3 linked regions of the Tamandua tetradactyla genome follow. The protein of the gene in region 1 binds, or shares a complex with, the protein of each later gene. Links are inferred from orthologs where the notes say so. Each region holds a gene or a part of one and is shown on either strand. Other genes may lie near its edges.

What was found.
Region 2: ARID1A (region 1) and SMARCA2 share a complex: the UniProt entries of both Homo sapiens proteins name them as parts of the neuron-specific chromatin remodeling complex. The link is inferred for Tamandua tetradactyla from reciprocal best matches to the Homo sapiens genes ARID1A and SMARCA2.
Region 3: ARID1A (region 1) and SMARCD1 share a complex: the UniProt entries of both Homo sapiens proteins name them as parts of the neuron-specific chromatin remodeling complex. The link is inferred for Tamandua tetradactyla from reciprocal best matches to the Homo sapiens genes ARID1A and SMARCD1.

Annotation. Positions count from the first base shown.
Region 1 is NC_135328.1:199,507,587-199,514,736, forward strand, and holds the start of ARID1A (AT-rich interactive domain-containing protein 1A), read right to left. Parts: upstream 3,055-7,150; 5' UTR 2,999-3,054; coding exon 1,877-2,998; intron 1,855-1,876; exon of another isoform or gene 926-1,854; intron 1-925. UniProt on the Homo sapiens protein: Involved in transcriptional activation and repression of select genes by chromatin remodeling (alteration of DNA-nucleosome topology).
Region 2 is NC_135328.1:96,172,326-96,180,250, forward strand, and holds the start of SMARCA2 (SWI/SNF-related matrix-associated actin-dependent regulator of chromatin subfamily A member 2), read right to left. Parts: upstream 3,098-7,925; 5' UTR 2,923-3,097; intron 2,437-2,922; exon of another isoform or gene 2,203-2,436; intron 927-2,202; exon of another isoform or gene 553-926; intron 1-552. UniProt on the Homo sapiens protein: ATPase involved in transcriptional activation and repression of select genes by chromatin remodeling (alteration of DNA-nucleosome topology).
Region 3 is NC_135333.1:111,100,467-111,107,805, forward strand, and holds the start of SMARCD1 (SWI/SNF-related matrix-associated actin-dependent regulator of chromatin subfamily D member 1), read left to right. Parts: upstream 1-4,242; 5' UTR 4,243-4,462; coding exon 4,463-4,639; intron 4,640-5,263; coding exon 5,264-5,451; intron 5,452-5,719; coding exon 5,720-5,762; intron 5,763-5,857; coding exon 5,858-5,980; intron 5,981-6,456; coding exon 6,457-6,579; intron 6,580-7,339. Other genes in the region: ASIC1 (acid-sensing ion channel 1), read left to right, coding at 307-398, 880-959, 1,050-1,154, 1,336-1,440. UniProt on the Homo sapiens protein: Involved in transcriptional activation and repression of select genes by chromatin remodeling (alteration of DNA-nucleosome topology).

The sequences.
Region 1 (7,150 bases):
CCTCCTAGCACAAAGGTGCAGCTTAGGTACTGCTGAGGGTGAGGGAGCATGAAGGGACCACTTTCCCTCTTCTTAAAGATATATGGCTCCATACAGAACCCAACATTCCTGATTAAAACCTTGAAGACAGAACACAATGAAGAGAGAAAAAGAGCAAAATAAAAATAAAATAGGATGCATTAAAAAGTACAAAAATTGTGATTTCTAAGCAAATCTTTTAAGTATCACAGTAGGTCCTATCTTTATATCTTGGAAGACAAGAAAAAAGAAACATACCTAGGGATGCAGAGAAAAAGTTAGCCGATTTCTATTTCAAAGCTCTAAAATGACTGAAACATTAGAAAACTAGTTTTTTATATTACAGGATCAAATGATAAATTTCACCAAATCAAGTCTTCAGGAGAAAATCCCTCTTAACATCATGAAATACAGACATTAGCTTCCCTTTAAATTGAGCTGCTCTGCCAAAGTTTAATTAACAAAAAAAAGAGTGTTAGATTCAACATGTAAACAAAGAATGAGGTCACAAACAGAACACTTGAACCTAATACAAAATTCTCTCAAAAAGCTTCCAGTTCTCCAAACTAAGAAAAAAAAAAAAAAAAGTACTACTCCCGAATAAAGATCTCACATTCACCACTCAATAAAATGCCCAGTAAAATAATTTCAATTCTGAAAAGCAAACAAGATCGAAATTACTCAAGACAAATGCATCTTCAGAATCATCAAAGAAGTCATTTATACCATCAGGAAAGTCAAAACCAAAACAAACAGCAAACCCATTGTAGAGAAAAACTCAGCTACTGTTCTGACAACACAGCATCTATTTCAGGCTGCATAAAACATAACAAGCAAAATAAATCCAAGGTACAAGTGAAATGCCATTGCCTCTCTTTTGTTTTGTGCACAATGTAACAAGGGCAACCTGTCTGGGGCTTTGCTCCTGCTGATACAGTATTGCTGCTTAAACCTCCCTCCTCAAGGTCACAGCCAATTTCAGCTCTGGAATAAAAGGCAGATAGTGGCAGCGATGGTTTGGGTTATCACTGGCAGAAAAGCAGAGTGTAAAAGTTTATGAGCTCATCAGGATTGTTGTACCATTACATCAGAGGCAATTATAAATGGCCAAGAGCAGGAGATGGGGAGCCAATCAGATCACAGATAGGATGTCAACCTAAGACCAACTGTCTCCTGGCTTTGACAGAAGGATTTTACCTCCATAATTCAAATCCCAAACCAAAGCAATCTGCACTTACTACTCCAATCACTCAGCTGTTTACCAGCACTTCCAGGGAGAAGCCCGGGCCACAGGGCCGAAGAAGACTAAGACCGGGGATGGCCCGGGCTGTCCTGGGTGAACCGCAGCCGGCTTCTAGCGGCCTCCAAGCAGGCCCCTGCCCTCCCTCGAGCCTGAGGGGCCCCTCCTTGAAAGCACAGAAGGGGAACGGCCTAGAGGAAGCAAGGGGGCAGAGAGGAGTGGCAGGTGAGCAAAAAACTGTTCTCTTAACTCCCGAAGCTCCTGCCACTGCCTATATCGCTAACCTGAGTCCCCAGCCCCGGCTCACCCCAGGCAAGGCCCTTCGCCGCCCACTCTGCCCCACAACCCCTCTGAAGACCCCCAGAGTTCTAAGGAACTAGGAGAGAGGGGGAAGGGGAGCAGACACCTCTGTGAAAGCCCCACACAAAGGCTGAAGGAGGAAAGGAGAGGTAGGCAGAGAGGCAGCCATTTTAAGAAAGAAGAGCCAGACAATGGCAGGTCCCCAGGAGTGGGGGCCCGGGACTGGGGGAAGCCCACGGCTGTGGCCGGTTTCCCGCTGCCGCCACCCACCTCCCAGAACCCCGCTAGCCCCAGCCCCCTCCCCACTCAGCTGTGTACCTGCGGGGTCCGGGCGAGCGACTGCCCCCCGCCGCCGCTGCTCCCGGGGCTCATGGGCGCGTGGTGGCTCCTTTGTTGGGCCCCTCCCGAGGCGGCCGCCGCCGCCGCCGCTGCCGCCGCAGCCCCCCAACACTGCGAGGCCATGTCCGCCGGGCCCTTGCCGGCGCCTCCGTCCTGGGGCCCGCCGCCGTAGTCACCCCCGGGGTAGCCCTGGTAGCCCCGGGCCGAGCTGGGCGACGTGAGCAGTTGGTTGAGGGTGGGGGTGGCGGTAGGTTGGGGGGTTCCCCCGCCGGCCGCTGAGGGGCCGCCTCCCCCCATGGCCCCGAAGCGCTGTTGAGCGAAGGACGAAGACGACGAAGAGGCGGAGGCGCTGGAAGAGGGAGGCGGCTTGGAGCCGGCGGCCGCCGCCGCGCCGGGGCCCGGAGTGCCGCCTCTCGGGGAGCTCAGCGCGTAGGCCTGGGAGGGCGGGGGGTAGGCGCTGCGGTTGGGGTAGTAGGAGTTGTACTGATGGTTAGGGAAGCCGTGGTCGTGCGAGTTCTGCTGGGGCCCCGCGTAGGGCTCCAGGCCCCCGCCGCCGCCGCTCTGCAGCGCTGCCAGGCCAGGGCTTTGTTGTCCGCCATGTTGTTGGTGGAAGACGGCGGCCGCGGCGGCGGCGACGGCCGACGGACTCCGGCCGTAGGGCTGCCCGAAGCCGTAGGCTGGGGGCGGCAAGGCGGCCGTGGCCGAGTGAGGAGGCGCCCCCACCCCGTCGCTGCTACCGCCACCACCGCCGCCGGGCGGCTCCGTGAGGTTATTGTTCAGGGCGGGCCTAGGGCCCGCGTTCCCGTTCGAGTTCTTCAGGTCCGGCTCCGCGCCGGACCCGCCGCTGCCGGCTCCGCCGCCGCCACCCCCATTGCTCTCGGCCCCGTCCTGCAGCTCCTTTCCCAGCGGCTGCGGCGGCCCCACGGCGGGACCCTCGCTTTCCTGCCCGGCGGCTGCCTTCATTTCCCCGCGCTCGGCCGCTGCCGTCGCCTCGCCCCCCGCCTCCTCCCGCTGCTGCTGCTCCGCTTTCTTCAGCTCCGAGGGCGGCGGCGGCGGGTTACCCAGGCTGCTGGCGGCGGCGGGGGCGACCTGCGCGGCCATGATCCCCGCTGTCTCGTCCGAGGAGAGACCCGGCCCTGTCTTCGTCTTCTCCCCCCCCTCCCACCCCTCCCCGGGGCCGAGTCCCCCGGGCTGCCCTCCCCACCCGCCCGGGCGGGCCTCGCGGGGCTCCGCTGCTGCGCTGCGCTCGCTCGCTCCTCTCCCCCCCGCCCCGCCGGCTCAGGCTCCGGGCTGGCGGTGGCGGAGGAGGAGGAGGCGGCGGCGGCCGAGGCGCCGGCGGCTTAGCTGCTCTCGGCTCTGGAGGCTCGGGACCCGGCTCTCCCGGCTCATTCCCCCCAAGCCCTTGCCTGGGAATGAGGGGGGCGGTGGAGGCTCCGCTCCCCAGGGCCTGGCCCCGCTGTGACTCTCCGCTTTCTGCTGCCGGAGAAAGGAGGAGGGAGGGAGGGAGGGAGGGAGGGAGGGAGGCGAGGGGGAGGGGGCGGGGAGGGAGGGAGGGAGCGGGGGGAGGGGGACCCGGGACGGGCGGGCTGGAGGGCGCGCGGCAGCAACCCGGGCGCCGGGAGGGAAAATCGGAACGCGGGCCGGGTGCCGTGCCTCCCCTCCCCGGCCACGGCTCGGGCCGAGGCTGCTGTGCGGCCGCGAGCGGGCGAGCGGGCAGGCGGCCGGACTGAGTGGCTAGAGCGCCCCACTCTCCTCCGAGTCCCCCTCACTCCGACACGAGGCTCAGCACTGCCATTTTACCCAGCGCCGTCGCGGCCGCCTGGCAAACCCGAAATGGAACACGGAACGGGCGCGGGCCGCGGAACGAACTCTCTCCCTTCCCCTCACAAAGGAGGAGGGGAAAGAACAAGCCTTGGCGGCTGTAGGCCCTCGGTAGCTTTAGCTCGGCCGCGCCGCCGCTGAAGGCATCGGGGAAAACCTGGCCCGGACTTCCCACCTCTGTGGAACCTGCGCCGCTTCCCTCCCGGCGTTCCCATCCCAACCGGTGGCGGCACGGAAGGGAGCCGGCAGCGTGAACTTTACCCGCGGCTGCAAAATTGGCCTGAGCCCGAGACCACGGCCGCCAGGGCTCTGGCCTGACCCCCTGGCAGTGGGCCTGGTCTCTTGGCAGCTACTTAGCACCTCTGCTGCAAACCGGCTCTAAAGATCCAGCTGAGTAAGGCAGTGGGTCCCAGCATTTTACCTAGGTAGCTGGCCTAAGGATCATTGTTTTTTTGCTATCCTACCTCCATTATCCTGTCCTGACAAGGCCTTGGGGTCCAGATTATCACCATTTCATAGAATTGAAATATAGAGAGGGGAAGGGACTTGTCTTGGGTCACAAAGTTAGAGGACAGAGGAAGGTGGCTTTAAAAAGAAGTGGAGTCCCCAAGGCTGATTCCTGTCTATTTATCCTTTTAAAAAAAGCAGTCAAGTTGTGGACAAATCCAGTGATGGGATCAGAATATCAGAATAAGGATGGGTTTGAGATCAAAGCTGCTCAGCTCACCACAGATTTAAAGTGGTCTCAATGGAAGCTGCTTTGGAGGCATATGGCAGTCAGACATCAAGTAGAATATGAGCCCCTTCTCTATCTCCTAAAAGAGCTTAGCCCACAATGATCAATACCCAAAGGCAGCCCCTACAGCCTGTGGAAGAGGCTTCCTGGGCTGGAGGTACCTGATGTTCAAACAAACCACTGAAGAAAAGGGATGGCCAAAAGGAGGGAAACAATTTTATCCTTAAAGAAACAGAAAAGTCACAGTCTAAAAGGTCATTCAGAAAACAGATGCAACCCAGATTTGTTTCTTATTCCTCAGTGTAAAGATTCTTTAAAGTTTACCATCACATTCTAAGAAAACCTGATGGAACTGGAGTTAGGTATATGTTAGTTAGGTCAGGTTTATTTGAAAAGATCAAGGCATACATAAAAAAACTCCAGCGTTGCCCAGCAGCCTTTTCCTCCTCAGGCTGACTTGGAATGCTCTGACATGACAGGCTATGAAAGCCAGAGGGGATTCCAACTCCTCACCAGGCTCACAGATGCCTTAAGAGAGGCCCAGACAAGCGTTTCTAGACCCCAGAGCTTCTTTTCCCCTCAGATTTTATAAATGGAGACTTCATCATTATCTTAGCACTTTCAGATTCTGCAGGCCCCTGCAGGAGTCCTTACCAAGCTACTGGTCACTGTGAATAATTCCAAAAGCCTGAGCTCATTTCTAACACCCCCCCCCCAAAAAAAATCTTAGAGCATCCTACACTAAAAAGGCAAAACCATCCTCCTAATCTAAAACATTGCCTTTTTTTCCCCCAAAGTCAAGAATTGAAACCCTACCAAGAAGATCCAATTCACTGGAATGGGCCAGTGCCTTAGTTTCATTCATAGTCCAGGGACAACAACTTTCCTAGTGTATTACGTTAAAGAAACCAAATTATATTCTGCCTCATAAATGGAGTTTGGTTATTAACCACTTGCCCGTGAACTGGCAAACAGTCCTGAGTCCTGCACACAAATGAGGAATTTTTACATGCAGTTGCCCTGTCATTTTCCTCAGAGCTTAAGTGTAATGGGAAACTTGGAGCCAGTGTATATCTGGAAGCCTGAATGGATGTCTCCAAAAGAAACCCTCATCATTCCCTTTCTTCAGTGGCTGTGAAATATGGAAAGTGCCAAAATTCCTCTCCCTACATGTGAGCATTGTTTTGAAAACAGCCACCATTTTTATCTAGCAATTAGGTGAATTGCCCAAAATCTATCCACCTGGACTGGGGGAGGTAACACGGGATTTCTTTCTTTCTTTTTTTAATTCCAACTCGTTTAGGATCCTTTTCTATCCCTACCTTTAGAGCCCTACACCCCCATCCTGGAATCGCACGCCTGAAGGGAACTTTCTTAGAAACTAGCCCACAAACTCTCTCTAGGGGTACAGGGAAAGGGGGGGAGGGGAGGAAGCTGGGCACGTGGCTGGCCCGAGCTGCGAGACCCAGCTAGGGACTACGAGTCCTCCCCTCGGTGGAGTTTTCTTCCCCATGGCCCCTGCCATTTAACCCCGCACCCAGGCAGCTCAGGAATCCCGACGCAGATTGGAGAACTAGGACTAGGACAGCGCTACCCTCATGAAAGCGCCTCAACCACCAACAGCCTGATGGCAAATACGGACTGAATCGTTGACATGGAAACCGGACTAAAGTCTCGCTTGCTCTCCACACAGGAGAGTTCTTATCACCGTCCCCGACCGCACGGCACTTGGGCAAACGTGGACTGGATCTACCTCCCGGAGGATCTGGCGGGGTTTCTGGACACAACATTAACTCCAGCGGCCGCGGCCGCCGGGTAAAGGGAGTACGGCTGCCAGGACAAACAGACTGAAAATGGCAGAGGATGTGCTCTCATTTTACCCAGCTGCACATTGCGCATGAATTGGGCCCGAGAACAAGGGAACAACCTATTAGATTCCACACAGTCAACTGCAAAATGTGGATCCGAGACCTGGAAGGTTAAGAGAGGAAAACGTTTGTAGGGAGGATAGCTCTTCCTCTCTCGCGCTTTGCTTTCCCAAAAGATCTGAAATACAAAACTCAACAAACAAAAGGTCAGGCTTTGCTCCTCATCAGGACTCCTTCCTTCCCCCATTCCTCGGGGGGGGGGGGGGACTTTTTAAGCTCTGAACTAAAGCGCGGGGAATCGGTGGTTGCTGCCCCCACACCCATTCCAGCCGCGGCAAAACAGCAGACACCCAGCGGAGCTCGCGAGTGCGAACTGGAGCAGCGAGTTTGAGCAAAAGGGCAACTCCGTCAGTTGACGGAAGCCAGAAGCGGAATTCAAAGTCTGGCATGGATTTCCGCCTGGAGCTGTCTGTTTCTTAAAGTTTGTAACTCCGTGTTAAGAAACAGCCCCAGTGGAGGCTTTGGGATCAGTGTGAAAGTCTAGCACTATCATCTGACAGCGAGCTGCAAAACTTTGGGCTGCATATTAAGAGAGGAAAGTGGATTGAAGCGAGAGTCAAGGCAATTCATTATGTTACCGGCTACCAGGCGGGAACTGTAAAATATGAACTGGAGTGACACCGAGAAAAATGGAATGGAGCCTGAATGGCGCTCAAAAACCCTTCCTGGTAAAACTGTGCCTGCCAAAAACCTTTAGAATCCCAAAGGAATAACCAAGGATGCATCAAGTTTGGTGGGTGCCTAATAACCCCTTCTCTACATCCTTTT
Region 2 (7,925 bases), about 100 Mb from region 1:
TACAAAACTCTCCCAAAAGTTATATAAACAAAGGAGGGGAGAAGCCCAGTATGGGCTTTGCACCCATGTGCTACAAAAATTACATAACACACGGTGCAGATATTAAATAAGGAATGGATTCTGCACAACACCCCCACTCCCTCGACTCCCTTCTTCCCTTAAAAAAATCCAAACGCCTGACCAGACCAAATGGACGACTTTGAATATTTATCTTATTGCTGGAGCAAATCCTGCGAGAGTCGGAGGCACATTTAGGCCCGAAGTTTGAAGGTGGAACAGCCCCAGGGCGCAGCGACTCACACTCTCCGGACCTGAAGGAGAAAGGTCTGACAAGCGACAGCAGCCAGCAAGGCCTTCTTTTTCCTCCTCCACGGTGCCTCCCGCTGTAAAGTTTTCCACGCAATCGATGGGAGGACAAGGAGCCAGTTCCCCCCGCCTGCCTGACTTTGCAGGCAGGAAAGGCGAGCGGGGAGATCAGAGGGGGCCGGCAGGGAAAGAGCTGGAAAGCTCCGCACAACGCGGGCGGTGGCAGTGGCGGCGCAGGCTGCTTACCTGGGGGACTCGGAACAAAAAGCGGCGCTGGGACTCCGAGAGCCTGCGGGGTCGGCGCGGTCCACCGCCCGGAGCGTGGTTCTTCCCCAGAGCTCTAGGCCCGCGCCGGAGCCCGGGGCCCGGCCCCCGCCGCCGCTTCCTTCCTCGCGCGCGTCATGTCACGGCGATCAAACATGTCTGTGTGCGCTTCGCTGCTGTGACTTCCTGATTCTCTGCCGCTCGCGCGCGCACACACACACTCACATTCACACGAGCACGTCACCCCCAGCAGCTCCCGCCGCCAAACCTCGTCTTTCCCTCCCTGAGCTCCTCGGGAGGGCGCGGGCGGGAGCGGCTGCCCGCGCGGCGACTCCAGACGCACTCGCCCCGACGCGCACAACGCACACTCACACTCACGCGCAGGCACCCTCGCCCCGGCCCCGAGGGCGCCGAGACGCAAGCTGCTGGCGCTCGCCGCCCCCTCCCATCCCTCCACCGTAGTTAGCCTCCCTGCCAAACTTTTTTTTTTTTCCTGCCTGATCCACGTCCAACTTCTCTCCACCCCCAACCCCCAAGCAGCCCGGCAAGCCTGGCGCTCACCACCATACGCCGCAAACGGCGACCGTATAAAAATAATAGCAATCGGGCGGCGGAGGCGGGGGCAAGCGCGCAGACACTGGCAGCAGGCGGTTTCCCCGCGTGTACCGGAAACCGGCGCGAGTGCCCAGGCCAGCGCGCTGGGTGTCCCGGAGCCCGCACTGCTGTGCCCCGCCCCACAAGGTGCAACTGCGCCCAGGCTGTGAGGCCTGTGCAGGGTACCAGGGCACCGGGCTCGGCGTGTGCTCTGCGGTCGGTGGGCGCCCGGGGACTGGCGCGCCGGACCGGTTATTTGGGGAAGTGCATCGCGACACCTTTGCAGATGGCATGGCAGCATTTGCAACGCAAACGGGAGGAGGGAAGGCGGGCGGGTGAAGGGGGGTTGGAAGAGCTGAGTAAGGGGTAAACCAGGTTGGGATGGGAATAAAGCAAACTCGAAAGCATGGAGCGAGAAGGAAGGGGTCCGTGTCATCGTTGGGAGGAAGCTCCCACCCCATCTCCCAGCCTCCCTCCCTCGCTACCCCCTATCCTCCCCCTCAGCCCTTTCCCTTTTAGCCGGCGAACGCCACCACCGCTGCCCGGGTGCGTGAGAGTTCTGTTTGTGACAGTCAGGCAGAGAGGATTATCCGGATCATGGCCTCCTCGGCCCGCAGCCGCCTTGGCTCTCCTGGGCCCCAGCGAGCCCCTAGCACCCGAACGATCACCGGCGACCCACGCCCGCTGCTCCCCAAGCCCTAGCCAAGGGAAAGAAGCGAAGCAAAAGAAAACAAACCCGGGGAGGGGGAGGGTAGTGTAACTGAACCTGGCTGGCACCTCCGACCTCCTTCTTCGGGGCCTCCTCTCTCCCTCCCAGCGATGCTGCCGGGGCCGGACACCCCGAACTTCAACACCCGAGCCTGCACGGCCGCCAGGTACCAGGAGCAGGGATGCCCGCAGCGCCCGGGGCGTACCCCCCGCCCTCCCCCCGCCCCGTAGCCGCTTTGCCCAAAGGCCTTGCTGTCTATCTGCCAGCGGCCCCGTCCCCGCCGGAGGGAACGCGGAAAGTGCAGGTGACACCTCGGATCCGGCGCTCACCAGCCCGGCGGCTTGTAGCTGCCGCTTTCTCCGCGCGTCAGCTTCGGCTTCTCCCGCCGCAATCCACTCGCGTCTCCGCAGTCGGAGCCCTTTAAACAAATCCCCCGGAGCGGTGGCAGCCGCGTCCGCTGGCGCCCCGCCGCCTGCCCGGACTCTTCGTCCTCCTCTCCCGCTCCCCTTCCAACTCTTCCGGGGAGGATTGCTCGGGATGAACTGTCGCGTTTCCATTCTCCTCCACCTCCCCCCAAGCCTCCCCCCCCCCCCCCCGGCTTTTAAGGGGATGGGGCGGATTACAACCTTGCCGAGTGTGTGTGTGTTGCAACCTTAAGTTGGCAGCGCATTGCCGACTGCCTACACAGGGTCAAGGCTGTGGTTTGTTGGTTTTTCCTCCTGGCTCCCTCTAAGTAGTAATTATTATTATTATTATTAGAACAGCAAGGTTCAGTTGAAACTTTCCCGTTTCTTCCACACCCGCCCGGCAGCTGTCGTTAGAGCATTCCACCTGAGGCCCGCGGGGAGGAGGCGGGCTTTTTTGTTGTTGTGTCGGTTGGCCCGCCTGTTTGTTTTGGTCTCCGTGCATGCACAATAAATAATAATTAGGAGAATAATGAATAATCCCCAGCGAAGGCGGCGCAGTGCTGGAGGGGGTTTGCGCCGCGGCTCCAGCGGGCAGCCCCGAGGGAGGGGAAAGAGGAGAAAGGAGTTGTAAGTTATATTTACCTTGCTCGCGAGGAGTGTGCTAGCTGAATCTCTTCCCTCTCTGAGTCACCCAGAGTACAGAAACAGAGGGAGAGAGGACTAGATTATGAATATGACTTCATTGATGACAGCCATCCCCTCCTCTTCCTAAACTCGGGCTCCGCCCCGCGTCCCACCCTCGCCGCCTCCACGGGCGCCGGAAGACGCGCCGCAGTTGGCCCCGAGAGCCGCTCCTCCCTGCCCGGCCGGGCGCGGGTTGGTGGGACGCGCCTGTCACTCGCTCGGCTCGGCGACTCCGCGAGCGCGGGGGGAGGAGGGGGCGGTGTGCAAGAATGTAGACCGAGACAGCTCTACTGTACTGGATCCGTGTGTGGCTGCAAGGCGCCGGCTCTAGGGCTGTGTTTTTGCCTGGGGCGGATAAACTGCGCAGGACGCAGAAAGCCCCGAGCCCTGATGGAGTTGGGCGTCTGTTATTCCTGCCTTGGCAGTCCTCTTCCCCAGGCGCTGCGGGCCGCCTCCGGGGAGGCTGGAGGGGAGGAGGAGGCGAAGCGAAAGGGAGGGAAGCCGTAGTAATAGCGCGTAGTAGTTTGGGGGTATGTGGGGAAGGTGCTGGAATTTAACTGTCTCCGCCTGCCAGTGCGAGCCTGCGGAGAGAAAAGGAGGGGACAGGGAGAGGCTCTAAGTGGCACCAAAAGCTGTTGGTGGCACGGTGCTGACCGAGGGGGGAAAAAAGGGGGCATTATCGTGCCGGTTGAAACTTTTTCTTCTCCGTTCCCCACCCCGGGCTGTAATTACAAATCTGCTCCCTCCCCCCCCCCCCCCCATAGGGTAGCAGGCACAAAGAACATTCCTGCCAAATCAGTCTCTTCTCCAAAGGATTGCAAGCTTCCAAATGCCAGTGAGGGGAGAAACAGCTGAGAGGCTGAACGCCTTATAAATAAATAAGCCCGCTTTAACCCCTCTGTATATTCCGTGGAGTAGACATAGCACTGTAACCTTCCTCATCTGTCATTTTCGTGTAAAATATATACAAAAATATAGAAAAACAACCCGATGCGGGGGCGGGGCAAGCGAGCTCGGGGGCAGTTGAAGAACGGAATCTGCTTTTGATTTAAGAGGGGGAATAAATCTCTTTTTCTCTACAGCCCATCGTCTCTTCTCTCCCACTCCACATTTAAGACCAATTAAGGCTACAAATAGTAAACCTCGGGCACTTCACGGTTTTGAGATCTCTTGTTCTAATTTTCTTTGAAACATGGTACTTTGGTCGGACCAATAGGTCAGGGTTTGCTGAGACAATTTTATTTTTAGTTTTATGAAGTGTGAAAGAATGTTGGGAGATTTTAAATCAGGGGCCTATTATTTTAGACTCAGATTAATGTAGGTGCTTGACTCTTAAAATTAAAACTGTTCCTACACGGGAGTGTTATGAAAACTATGATTTATCCCTTATTTTGTAATGTAATGGCTTAAATTAGTCATTCCAAGTGCACTGTGACTTTGGTTGAGGATTTTTTCCCCTAGAGTAAAATCCTATCCTATCACCATTTTGCTATTGCAACATTGACTCTACTTGAGCAACCAGATCTGAAATGCAGTTCTAGGATGCTTGAAACTACAGGCTGAATAAATTGAAGACAAGAAGCCGTGGAAAGAACACCAAATACTCCATGTGGCATTATGTGGCAGGTATTGTTCACATGCCAGTCCATTGCTAGCTGAAGCCTGGTGTGCAAAGACACCGTTTTTGGAGTGGCTAGGAGTATCAATTATCCCCCATCCTGAGGTTTTCCAAGGCCTTGTTACTTGATTGTTAACTTTGTCCTCCTAATTTTCTGTCTAGCCCAAAGTGAACCTCAAGACAACAAAAGATAGCACACCTAAGTGAAATAGAGTATAGTATGCCCTGAAGAATCCGTTGTAAGAACTTGTTTTCCCTGCCTGAGGGCCAACATAACTATTAACTGAGAAATATACAGCAAGAAATCTTAAGCAAAAATTGTAGTAAAAGTATAATAAAAATACTAACTTCTAACTGTCTAATAAATTGCAACTAATCATATAGCCAGATAACTCAGTTGTCTATAAAAGGCTCTGTAAGATAATGACAATGTACATTACATTAGATAATATTAGGTTTAAATTTGTTTTTGCTTCCCTTGCATGCCAACCTCACATGCCAACTTGCAGAAATCGATGACTTCATCTTTATTCCCTCACGAATGAGTGTCCTTTATCCCACCTCCACCTGCCATGCCAAATTTCAAAGAGAACATCACCTTAGTAAGACACTGATGATGAGACTGGCCATTCCTTCTGGCATTTTGTCAAAGGGAAAGTAAAGAAGAAAGCATTCCCTTTGTATATGTGTGTATTCTTCAGCTCACATAAAATTTTGATGTAGTACTTGGGGCTACAGGAGAGGATGGTATCCATCTATTAGAGGCACAACTATGGGAATTTAAAAACAAGATCTTCATTGGGGGCACAGATTAAATATAGATTTTTCATCTCCTTTTCCCTCACATTAGTCTAAGAAAGCACCACCTTCTCCCTTCAGATCTTTCCTCTGAAGAATCATCTTGTTTATGGTTTGCATTACAGCAAATAAGAATTTTATAAAATAAGTCCTAAACTCAGGAGAAATGAAAGAGCACCATCATTCACTTGGTACAAAAAGAATGCAGAACACCTAGCATGAGCTTCATCTCTGAGGTAAGGCAAAATTTAACAATTGATGTTAAGGAGGAAAATGATGGGATTCTTTTGTTTTGCAGAAAATCACACAAAAGCAAATATGGTTGGAGGCTAAAAGGACTCCAGGAGGCTGCACAGGATGCTATATTCACATGAAGCTTTTCGTTTTGGACTTTGATGAGTCATAATGTGTTCTCAGAACTAGCTTTTCTCTTTCTAGTTTGGCATCAAGGGATGGAAGTCACTTTTTCATTTCTGTGTGGCCATATTCACTTGTTATGTAACTCTGCTTTAGTTCTGTAAAGAGTAAGATACTGGGTTTGAAAATTGATATCTAGTGACAAAATACTCATAAAGAAAAATTCCATGCACAAAGTTAGGGAGCTTCTAGTTTCAACAGACAAGCTGTTAATGTTTACTAAAATGTTGCCTAACTTCAAAGAAGAGCAGGTAAGACCATTTAGGGAATAGGTACTTCATCTACAATAATGGAAACTAAGCTTTGACAGACTGAATCAGCTGACATTTAATTTAATGAAGAGAATTTAGCATTAGCAAATAAATTTATTGGAGAAATGTATTTAGAATTAGCAAATAAATTTATTGTAGAAATAAACACTTCTCTCTCTCCTTTTTTCCCCTCAATCAATAATCCCAGTAGATCTTGTCTCCTCACAATCATTCCTCCAAAATACCACCTCAATTCTCTTTGTGATCATATCACTTTCTAGTTTGTCCTCGGTCCATTCTCAATCCATTATAGGATAAATTTCATACTTAGCGTGTTCTCCAAGGCTGTGCCTGGACAGGTCCCTACCAGCCTCATTGACCATCTCAAAATGCCTGAGCTCTGGGAAACCTGGTCTATCTTTTGGTTCCAAAGGAGACTTCCTTCCTCGTCCACATTCCCTCTGACTGAAATGCAGGTCCTCACCCCACATCCTCCAAGACTCAGCAATGGCCCAGCGTCCTTCCAGTGGCCCTCCTTCCCTTCCCCGGGCAGAGGAGACCCCTTGTCCTATTCTGCTTCCATAGCAACCAGTGTGTACCTCCATTATAGCACTTATCACTTTGATGCGATTATTTGTTTGGTATTCTCCACTAGATGGTTAGTGCCTGGAGGATGTAGAGCAAGTTCAATTCATCTTTGAAGCCCCAGCAATTAGCAGGGTGCCCAGCACATTGTATGCTGTTAAAAGAAAAAAAAAAGTTTGTTGAATGAAAGGATGAGACATATATTAAAATTATAGAGAATTCATAAGATCTTTGTTGTTAGCAATTATCATGTTAATGAACAAGATTACTAAGTGTTCAGAAGCTTTGTATTATTTTCTAAGCTGAAAAGGCTGACATGTTTTTGGGTTTTATTTTGTTTTGTTTAAGGGAGAGAAGGTGAGGAGAAGCTATAGCTCTTGCCATAACACGAAGAGTATTGAGAGGAGTTTGCTTGTTTGGGTTTTTGTTTTTTTTTTTAATTAGGCTAAGAATAACACAAATGAATACATGGTAATTGTGTAATAGACTAATAATAATTATGATAGTAACTCCCTTTTGTTTCTCCTTTAAATCGTATGCCAGAATTTGTAAAAGCCCTTTACATATGCCATTAAATCCTTTGAGATTTGTGATATTAAACCCATTTTACCGATGAGAAAACATTTTTTGAGATGACAGATAATTTGCCTAAGGCAGGTTCTCCTAAGTGGAGTGGGCAAGACAAATCAGTGGGAGGTGGGAAGAATGTTAGAAAGTCTGTTTCTTTTTCTTTCAATGATAAAAGAAATGTAGTGATGCAAAAATTTTTTAAATGAGCCTTATTAATGTTTATCACACTCATTCACTGTGGGGCCTTTACATGGTCCCTGAGTCAGCTGGCCATATACCCTGTATTGTACCTGACGAATGCAGAGGCCATGAGGCCAGGGCAGGAGTCCCCAACACAGAGGGCTGACAGTGGCGTCCCCTCTGGTTCTTTCACTTTCTGGGTATTGATATCACCTGAAGCTGATTCGATGGTAAATGGACTCACAAGGTAATATTTTCTAGTTTTAAACAAGCAACCCTCCTATTTAGGAAGCAAATGGCTTAAAAAGATTTCTACAGAGAAATCAAAGACTGAGAGACTGCCAGTAATGACAGCCCAGGTGAAAATCAGTGTCAGATCTGCGGCTTGAACTTCGAATAGCACATTGTCCACCATGTTGAGAAGTAAAAACAGGATCTGACAAGAGAAAGGTTAAAAACCATTCACAATTATCCAAAAGACTACATGAAATTTAGACATAAGCTATCATTAATGATGAATTCTGGCCTAAGAATATATTTTA
Region 3 (7,339 bases), on another chromosome or scaffold:
CCAACCAGTCTGCGGTGGGCATGGAGGGAAGACCAAGCCACAGTAAGCAGAGGAAGCATTCCTCTCTCCCCGCTCCCCAGCTTTATCCTCTGTCTTCATCCTCATTGCCGCCACTATGATCAGGTGTGCAGTGTCTTTTCCTATACACCATCTCATTCAATCCTTCTACAAGGTACATTAGCTTTAGCATCTCATTTTATGATCCAGAGACTGAGATTCAGAAAGGCTAACTTGTGAAGGTCACCCAGCTTGTGAAAGGCAGAGCTATGACTTGAACCTGTGTCTCCTCCCCCAACCTCACTGAAGGGAGAACATCTTGGTGCTGGACATTTTCTTTGAAGTCCTCAACTATGAGACCATTGAGCAGAAGAAGGCCTATGAGATTGCAGGGCTCCTGGGTGAGCTACTGAATGCACCTGTTCCTTCCCTTGCCATGGGCGGGGCCTGACTCCCTGCTCACCTCTGTCTCATATGGTCCCCACTCCAGGAACCCTTCCCCAAACCCTGCTGCCTTGGTATGTGGTGGGGCAAGAGGGCTGAGCCTTTTCTTAGGGTAAAGCGAGCGGCCCATGGGCATGGGGACGGGGGAGGGACAAGGGTTACAGGGGCTATTTCACACTCTCTGAAAACTGGTCCAGAGACTAAGAGTGTTGGGTATTTTGTAAGCAACTGTTTTACGTGAAATAATACCTATGCATTTTAGAAAAGTAGAAAATGCTGGAAAAAAAAAAAACACATAAAAACCCCACCAGAAGCTGGCTTTGCGCCCGTGCATGAAGGTTGTCAACACCCTCGTGAATAGGATTTGTTCGCCCCTGTTACTGCGAGCCGTGCCGCCCCCACGGTGACCTCCCTGACCTCCACGCACCCCTCCCGCAGGTGACATCGGGGGCCAGATGGGGCTGTTCATCGGGGCCAGCATCCTCACGGTGCTGGAGCTTTTTGACTACGCCTACGAGGTAAGCGGTGGGGGTGGGGTGGGGGTGGGGCCTACGCCGAGGGGCGGAGCCTACGGAAGGGGTCCCACCCCACCCCGCCGCCTGTCGCAGGTCATTAAGCACAAATTGTGCCGGAGAGGGAAGTGCCAGAAGGAAGCCAAAAGGAGCAGCGCGGATAAGGGTGTGGCTCTCAGCCTGGACGACGTGAAAAGACACGTGAGGAAGCCAGCGAGAGGTGGCGTCGGGGCCCACCCTCCCCTCGCTGCCCCGGGGCCCGCCCCCACCTACCCCCCACGCCCCACCCGTGCCTTCACACCATCCTTCCTTTGCCTCCTCCACACCCCAGTGACACCTGTGACGCTGATAACCAGTCCCTGTCCTGTGTGTGCCCTTCTAGAACCCCTGCGAAAGCCTCCGGGGCCATCCTGCCGGGATGACGTACGCTGCCAACATCCTACCTCACCATCCGGCCCGAGGCACGTTCGAGGACTTTACCTGCTGAGCCCTGCAGGCCCCTGTACCAAAGGCCTAGATGGGGAGGGCTAGGAGAGCAGGGGCCCCGTCCCCTCCCCCGGCTGCCCCCTTCAATCGGCTCCAGGACTTATGGCCACCTCCTAGGGCAGTCCCCCACTCCTGGACAATCCTTTCCTCTCCTCTGTGGTGAGGAAGGAGTTTTGACCTGACCATACTCTCCCTGCCTCTATCCCTTTTTTTGTTTGTTTTTTAAACAAAACTAAACTAATCTAAAAAAGAAATTAAAAAGAGAGAAGGGGGCAAGGGACCTCAGGCTGACCTGCTCTGCCCCATGCTGCCTCCCCTAGCTTCCAGCCTGAATTCTCTCCGTCTGTCATCTGAGCGTCCACCTACATTCTGCTGCCACCAGTCACCAAAGCCCCCCCAGTGGGTGGGGCAGGGGATCCTTGGGGTCTGGAATTTGGCCCCAAACCAGAGAATGTATCTTGAGGGGGAGGGCTGGGAAGGGGCTTTCCTAGCCTTAAGAGACCCCCTCAACGCAGTGATCCCCCACCCCCACCCCAATCCCAAGTCTTCAGGCAGAAAGTAAGACCCCAGTCTCACTTCCTCACACCATGTGGAGTCCCTAGGGGGCTGGGTGCAGTGATCCTCTGAATTGGAGACGGGGGCAAGATGCGGCCCTGGTGCTGTAGGCCACACCCCGATACTTACACGTTCACCCCCACACTAGAGCCGTAGCTGCTGGAAAGAAATCCCAAGAAGCAGCCGTCCTCTTACATCCCATAAAAGACCCCGCTGGTTGGTTTCCAGCTCAGGGAGAGGGTTACTGGTGCCTGAAATCACTGGTCCTTCTCCCAGGGGCCCCTGCAGAGGGCCACATCCATAAATTTTCTTATGGAACTCTCCCAAGTCCTTTTCCCCAACTCCATTTGCTTCTCTCAACAACCTCATCTGCATTTTCTATTTCTATATGATACAGACTCTATATTGCTATATCTCTGTATATACTTTTCTCCAACCCTGTCTGTCTCTCCCCATACACTCTTGTCTCTGGAAACCACCCCCTACCCTGAGTTCCCCCTTCTGTGTCTCTGACTCCCCCTCCCCCTGGTTTCTGAATGCCTTCGCCTGTATAAAGAGTTGGACTCTCTCCCCTGGTGTCTGTACTGTGTACACACATCCCTCTGAGAAGCACAAGGAGACGACACACGCATTGTAAACTTCGCACTGTCTTGGTGGCGACATAAAGGAAGCTGTGAATCACAAGCTCTGCCTCTTTCTGGCCTCATCCTCTCCTCCCAACCTGGGTATACTCTGCCCTCCCTGCAGCCTTAACATTCTCTTCCTCTGCTCCACCCTCCCCAGTACCCTTTACCTGGCTGGTTCCAGCCTCTGAGGAGAAGGGGGGAATGTTGCTACAGTGATAGCCCCCATCCAGGGAATGGGGACCTAGTCTACACCCTAAGCCAAGGAGAATCTTTCTCCCAAGCTAGAGGCTGGAGTGCCAGATTCAGAAGGAAGCTGGGGGTCAATCACTCCTGTAGTGGGGGTAGCGGAGTGCGGACAGGAAGAAGCTGAGGTCCTCAGTCATGGTCTTTCCCTCCTTCTGGGTGCCCAGTTCCCTTTTCTCACCTGATATTCAAGCCTGCCACTCACATTTTCTGGTGAGGTAAGGTGTGCAGTGGGAGGAAAGAGACAGGCCTAGAGGAAAAGTTGAAAGCTCTGCTGTTCTGTTCCACGCTACCTTAATGAGAGGCAAGTGAGGGAGAGGATTAGCCCCCTCTCCCTTCCACAGGCATCCCTCCCAGCCCACAGTCCCAACCCCTTCCCAGACCTTCTCTGCCCAGCCTTCTCTTGGTCTCCAACCCTGGAACAGGACCTATGGGTAGGTCACCTGTGCATTGGCCTGGAGCTGGTGAGTGAAGCTGTAGGATCTTTGGCAACTCCTGATTCTTAGGAGTTCTTAGAGAGCACACCTTCCCAAAGGGAATCAGGAGCAAGGCCAAAAGTGTGCACTGGATGGGGAACAGCAGGTGTGGCTCTGAGTGACGCATGCCTCTGGTGTAATAAACTGGGTTTCAACCATCTCCTTTTCAGTGTTGTTCTTCAGTTATTTGGAAAGTTATTCAGGTCTTCCCATCAATTGCCTAATGCTGAACTTGGCTTGGCTCCAAAGAATGAGGGGGAGGAGTAAGAACAGGGTTTGAGTAGGGAGGTCCTGATCCTCCTAGAATAGAACAGGCTGACCATCTCTCTGGGAATGGTTTGAACCACTGAGCAGGTAAAGAGGGAGAGGCCAAAGACAACAAAGACCCCAGAGAGAAGTCCCACCACAATGGATTTTTTGGAGAGGAGGACAGAGTCAAATTCAAGATAAACTGGAATTTAAAATCTGGAATCAGGTTAGGTTAAAGGTTAGGAACAAGTTGGGTTGAAGTTCCAGAATGAGGTAGTTATTCAGGCATTTTATCTGTGGAATGAGCCCCGGGCTAGAAGCCAGTAAGTAGATCTGGATTCTAGGCTTTGCTTTGTTACTAACTTGATAGATGACCTCTGCCAAGTCATTTACCCTCTGAGCTACATTGTAGAATAGAATAAATAGTGCGTTCTCATCCTCAGCACCCCGTAGATATAGCAATAGGGAGTGAAATGAAAACAGTCAAAGCACTTTGGAAGGTTAAGGACGCTGCGCCTGGACGAAGCAGTTACTCTGCCATCCTCTGCATCAGAAGGTTGAGGCTGGGGCTGGGGTCCGCCTTTTCCAGGTCTTTGTCTTCCTCCCGTCGGCTTGAGGGCGCTCGCTCACAGTGGCTCTCTATCCCAGAGCTCATCTCTGTGGTCGTCCCTCCCGGACCGTGAGGGCTGGAGGGAGTGGTCAAGCTCAGCCTTTTCCGCTAGCCCTCCCGCTCTAGCCCACAGTCTCGCTACCCTGAGCCTCCCGGGCCAGGCGGGCCGGCGGGCGGACAGCCGGGCTCTCGGGGGGCGCGCGGAGGACAGGGGGAGTTCCGGTTCCGGTTCTTTGTGCAGCTGCGGCAGCGGCTCCGGGGAAGATGGCGGCCCGGGCGGGTTTCCAGTCAGTGGCTCCAAGCGGCGCCGCCGGAGCCTCAGGAGGGGCGGGCGCGGCGGCCGCGCTGGGTCCAGGCGGGACTCCGGGGCCCCCAGTGCGAATGGGCCCAGCTCCGGGTCAAGGGCTTTACCGGTCACCGATGCCCGGAGCGGCCTATCCAGTGAGTAGGGCAGGAGGAGGAGCGCTCGGGCCGGAGGCGGGGCCGATGGGGGCTCAGGAGTGACAGGGGTGTGGTGGGGGGAGAAGTAGGAGGGGCTCCCCTGGGAGGAATTCAAGCCCTGTGTAGAGTGAGGAGAATTAGTGCGAAGAATAGGAGGGGGAGACATTTAGCATCCCTACCTACTCCAAAAGGAGTATTGTTTCCGTGCATGTCAGGGTATGAGATCAGGGTTGACGGCCTCGGGCCAGGGGTGGGCAGGTAAGGGCTGGAGCCCACAGGGGCTTGGCAGCTCTAGTGCCCAGAGGAAGACAGAGGGTATAGCTGGCAAATTGGGGTCAAGTTCTAAGGAGGTAATAGCTGGCAGAGTAAATGTGGGAGGTAAATGTGTCAGATCTAGGGTAGATAGGAGAGAGCATTTGAGTGTATTCTGGTTATCGCTTATTTTCTGGGCTATATTGACCCATGGAATCACAGTTGGAGTGGAGAAAGTCCCAGTTGCTTGTATTTCGACATTACCATACCAGTCTGGTTTCATTTAAAGAACTCAGGCATCCCTCACTTTTCCTTTCTTGTTGGTCTTAATAGGGGAAACCATGACATCTCTGGGTCCTTTTCCCTCTATAGCGACCAGGTATGCTGCCAGGCAGCCGAATGACACCTCAGGGACCTTCCATGGGACCCCCTGGCTATGGGGGGAACCCTTCAGTCCGACCTGGCCTGACACAGTCAGGGATGGACCAGTCCCGCAAGAGACCTGCGCCTCAGCAGATCCAGCAGGTCCAGCAGCAGGCGGTCCAGAATCGAAACCACAAGTAAGATGACTCTGGGGCAGAGGGAGGGAGGGGGGAGATCTATGAGAACAAAGGTGGTGGGAGTATTCTGAACCAAGAAATAGTGGTTCCCTGTCAGCAGTCTGGGGCTGCAGGACTCATTTCTCAAGAATGAGAATGTGAAAGGGGAGCTCTTTGATTTGAGAGGAGCTTTGCAGCCCCTCCACATTCTATAAATGGAGTGCTGACAGCTTGTTTTCATGTTCTGACTAGTTTCATCTCATCTAATAACAGTATTTATTCTGAACAGTGCAAAGAAAAAGAAGATGGCTGACAAAATTCTACCTCAAAGGGTGAGTCCAGACTATAGGTTTTCTTGAGGATACAGTGAGTTTGAGAATAGAGATGGTCAGCTCTAGAACCTAATTGTTATCTTTCTGTTCTGAAGATTCGTGAACTGGTGCCAGAATCCCAGGCCTATATGGATCTCTTGGCTTTTGAAAGGAAACTGGACCAGACTATCATGAGGAAACGGCTAGATATCCAAGAGGCCTTGAAACGTCCCATCAAGGTAACACAGGAGAGTGCTAGGCAGAAAGCCAAAGGAGAGAACTTGGGAAACTTCAGCAGTCTTAGTGAGAAATCAAAGGCATAACATAGCTCTCTCTGGCATTTAAATTGGATCTCTCCCTTCTGCCTACAAAGAGAGAATTACATTAGGAGCATAAGAACAGAATGGCAAAGGGGAGGGGCTTTTGATGTCTCTTGCATCAGAAATATACCTTGTCCGTGTTTTTGTTATAACTGCTCTCCCATCTTGGGATCCTGGCACCTTGCATGATTATCCACCCGGCATCCCTGTGTATGCACTTGCACTCAGGCCAGTGGCCTGTGTTCTTCTCCTGGATGGAATCTCCACCAACCCTAGGGACTGGGTAGACAGTAAGCCAGTTTGTTAGGAGTAATTTTGGGGTTTGGGGAGATCCTTGTCTGCAACATCAAACCGCTGAAGCCCCACCATCAATCCTGTTTCTGCCTTCCCCACAGCAAAAACGGAAGTTGCGAATTTTCATTTCTAACACTTTCAATCCGGCTAAATCAGATGCCGAGGATGGGGAAGGGACAGTGGCTTCCTGGGAGCTTCGGGTAGAAGGACGGCTCCTGGAGGATGTGAGTTCAAGGTCCACCGAGGTCGGTGTGTCTAGGGTGGGAGCTGCTGGGAATGAGCAGTGTCCTCTGGTCTGCTGAGACTGTGAACACAGCTCCTGTTGGGAGCACAGGGACGAGGGACACTCTGTTCTCTGTACTGAAAGACAATGGTTCTTTGTGTCTGTCTCCCACAACTTTGACCCTCACTATGGGTATCATTATTGTCCTGGGATCTGACTTGTTGTTTCCCTTCCCCTAGTGCTGAGGCCATTGGATTCACCAGTATCTGAAGATTACTTTAGTTTTTTTCCTTAATCAATTGAGTTTGCTCTTGACATTTGAGGCCATAATTTTCCTTTTCTGAGTCCTTGAGGTCATTGATTCCCACTATGGTATTTCCCTCTTCCCAACTTTAATTCCTCACAGTGTAAGTGGGATAGATGTCTCTGATAAACTTTTCATTGCTTTATGAAGAACATCAGCTGATACCACAGCAGCTCTGTGGGGAAGCTCACCTCTCATTCCTTCATACTCGACAGCTTTTAATTTAAGCTGCCACAGGCAAGCTAATTTGAATGCACGTTTGCAGGAGAAGCAGGGCTCGGTGTCAGAGCCTCCTTCTCTATATAGGTCCATTCCATCTGCTGGTGTTGTCATTTGGTCCAAATAAAGCCGTTTTTGTTCTGGCTGCTCATTGCCAGTGATTCATTTCCCTTCTAGAGTCAGACTTTTCTCGTTCAAGCTTGCTTTTATGTTGTGTGCGTTAGTTTTGCTTAACTTG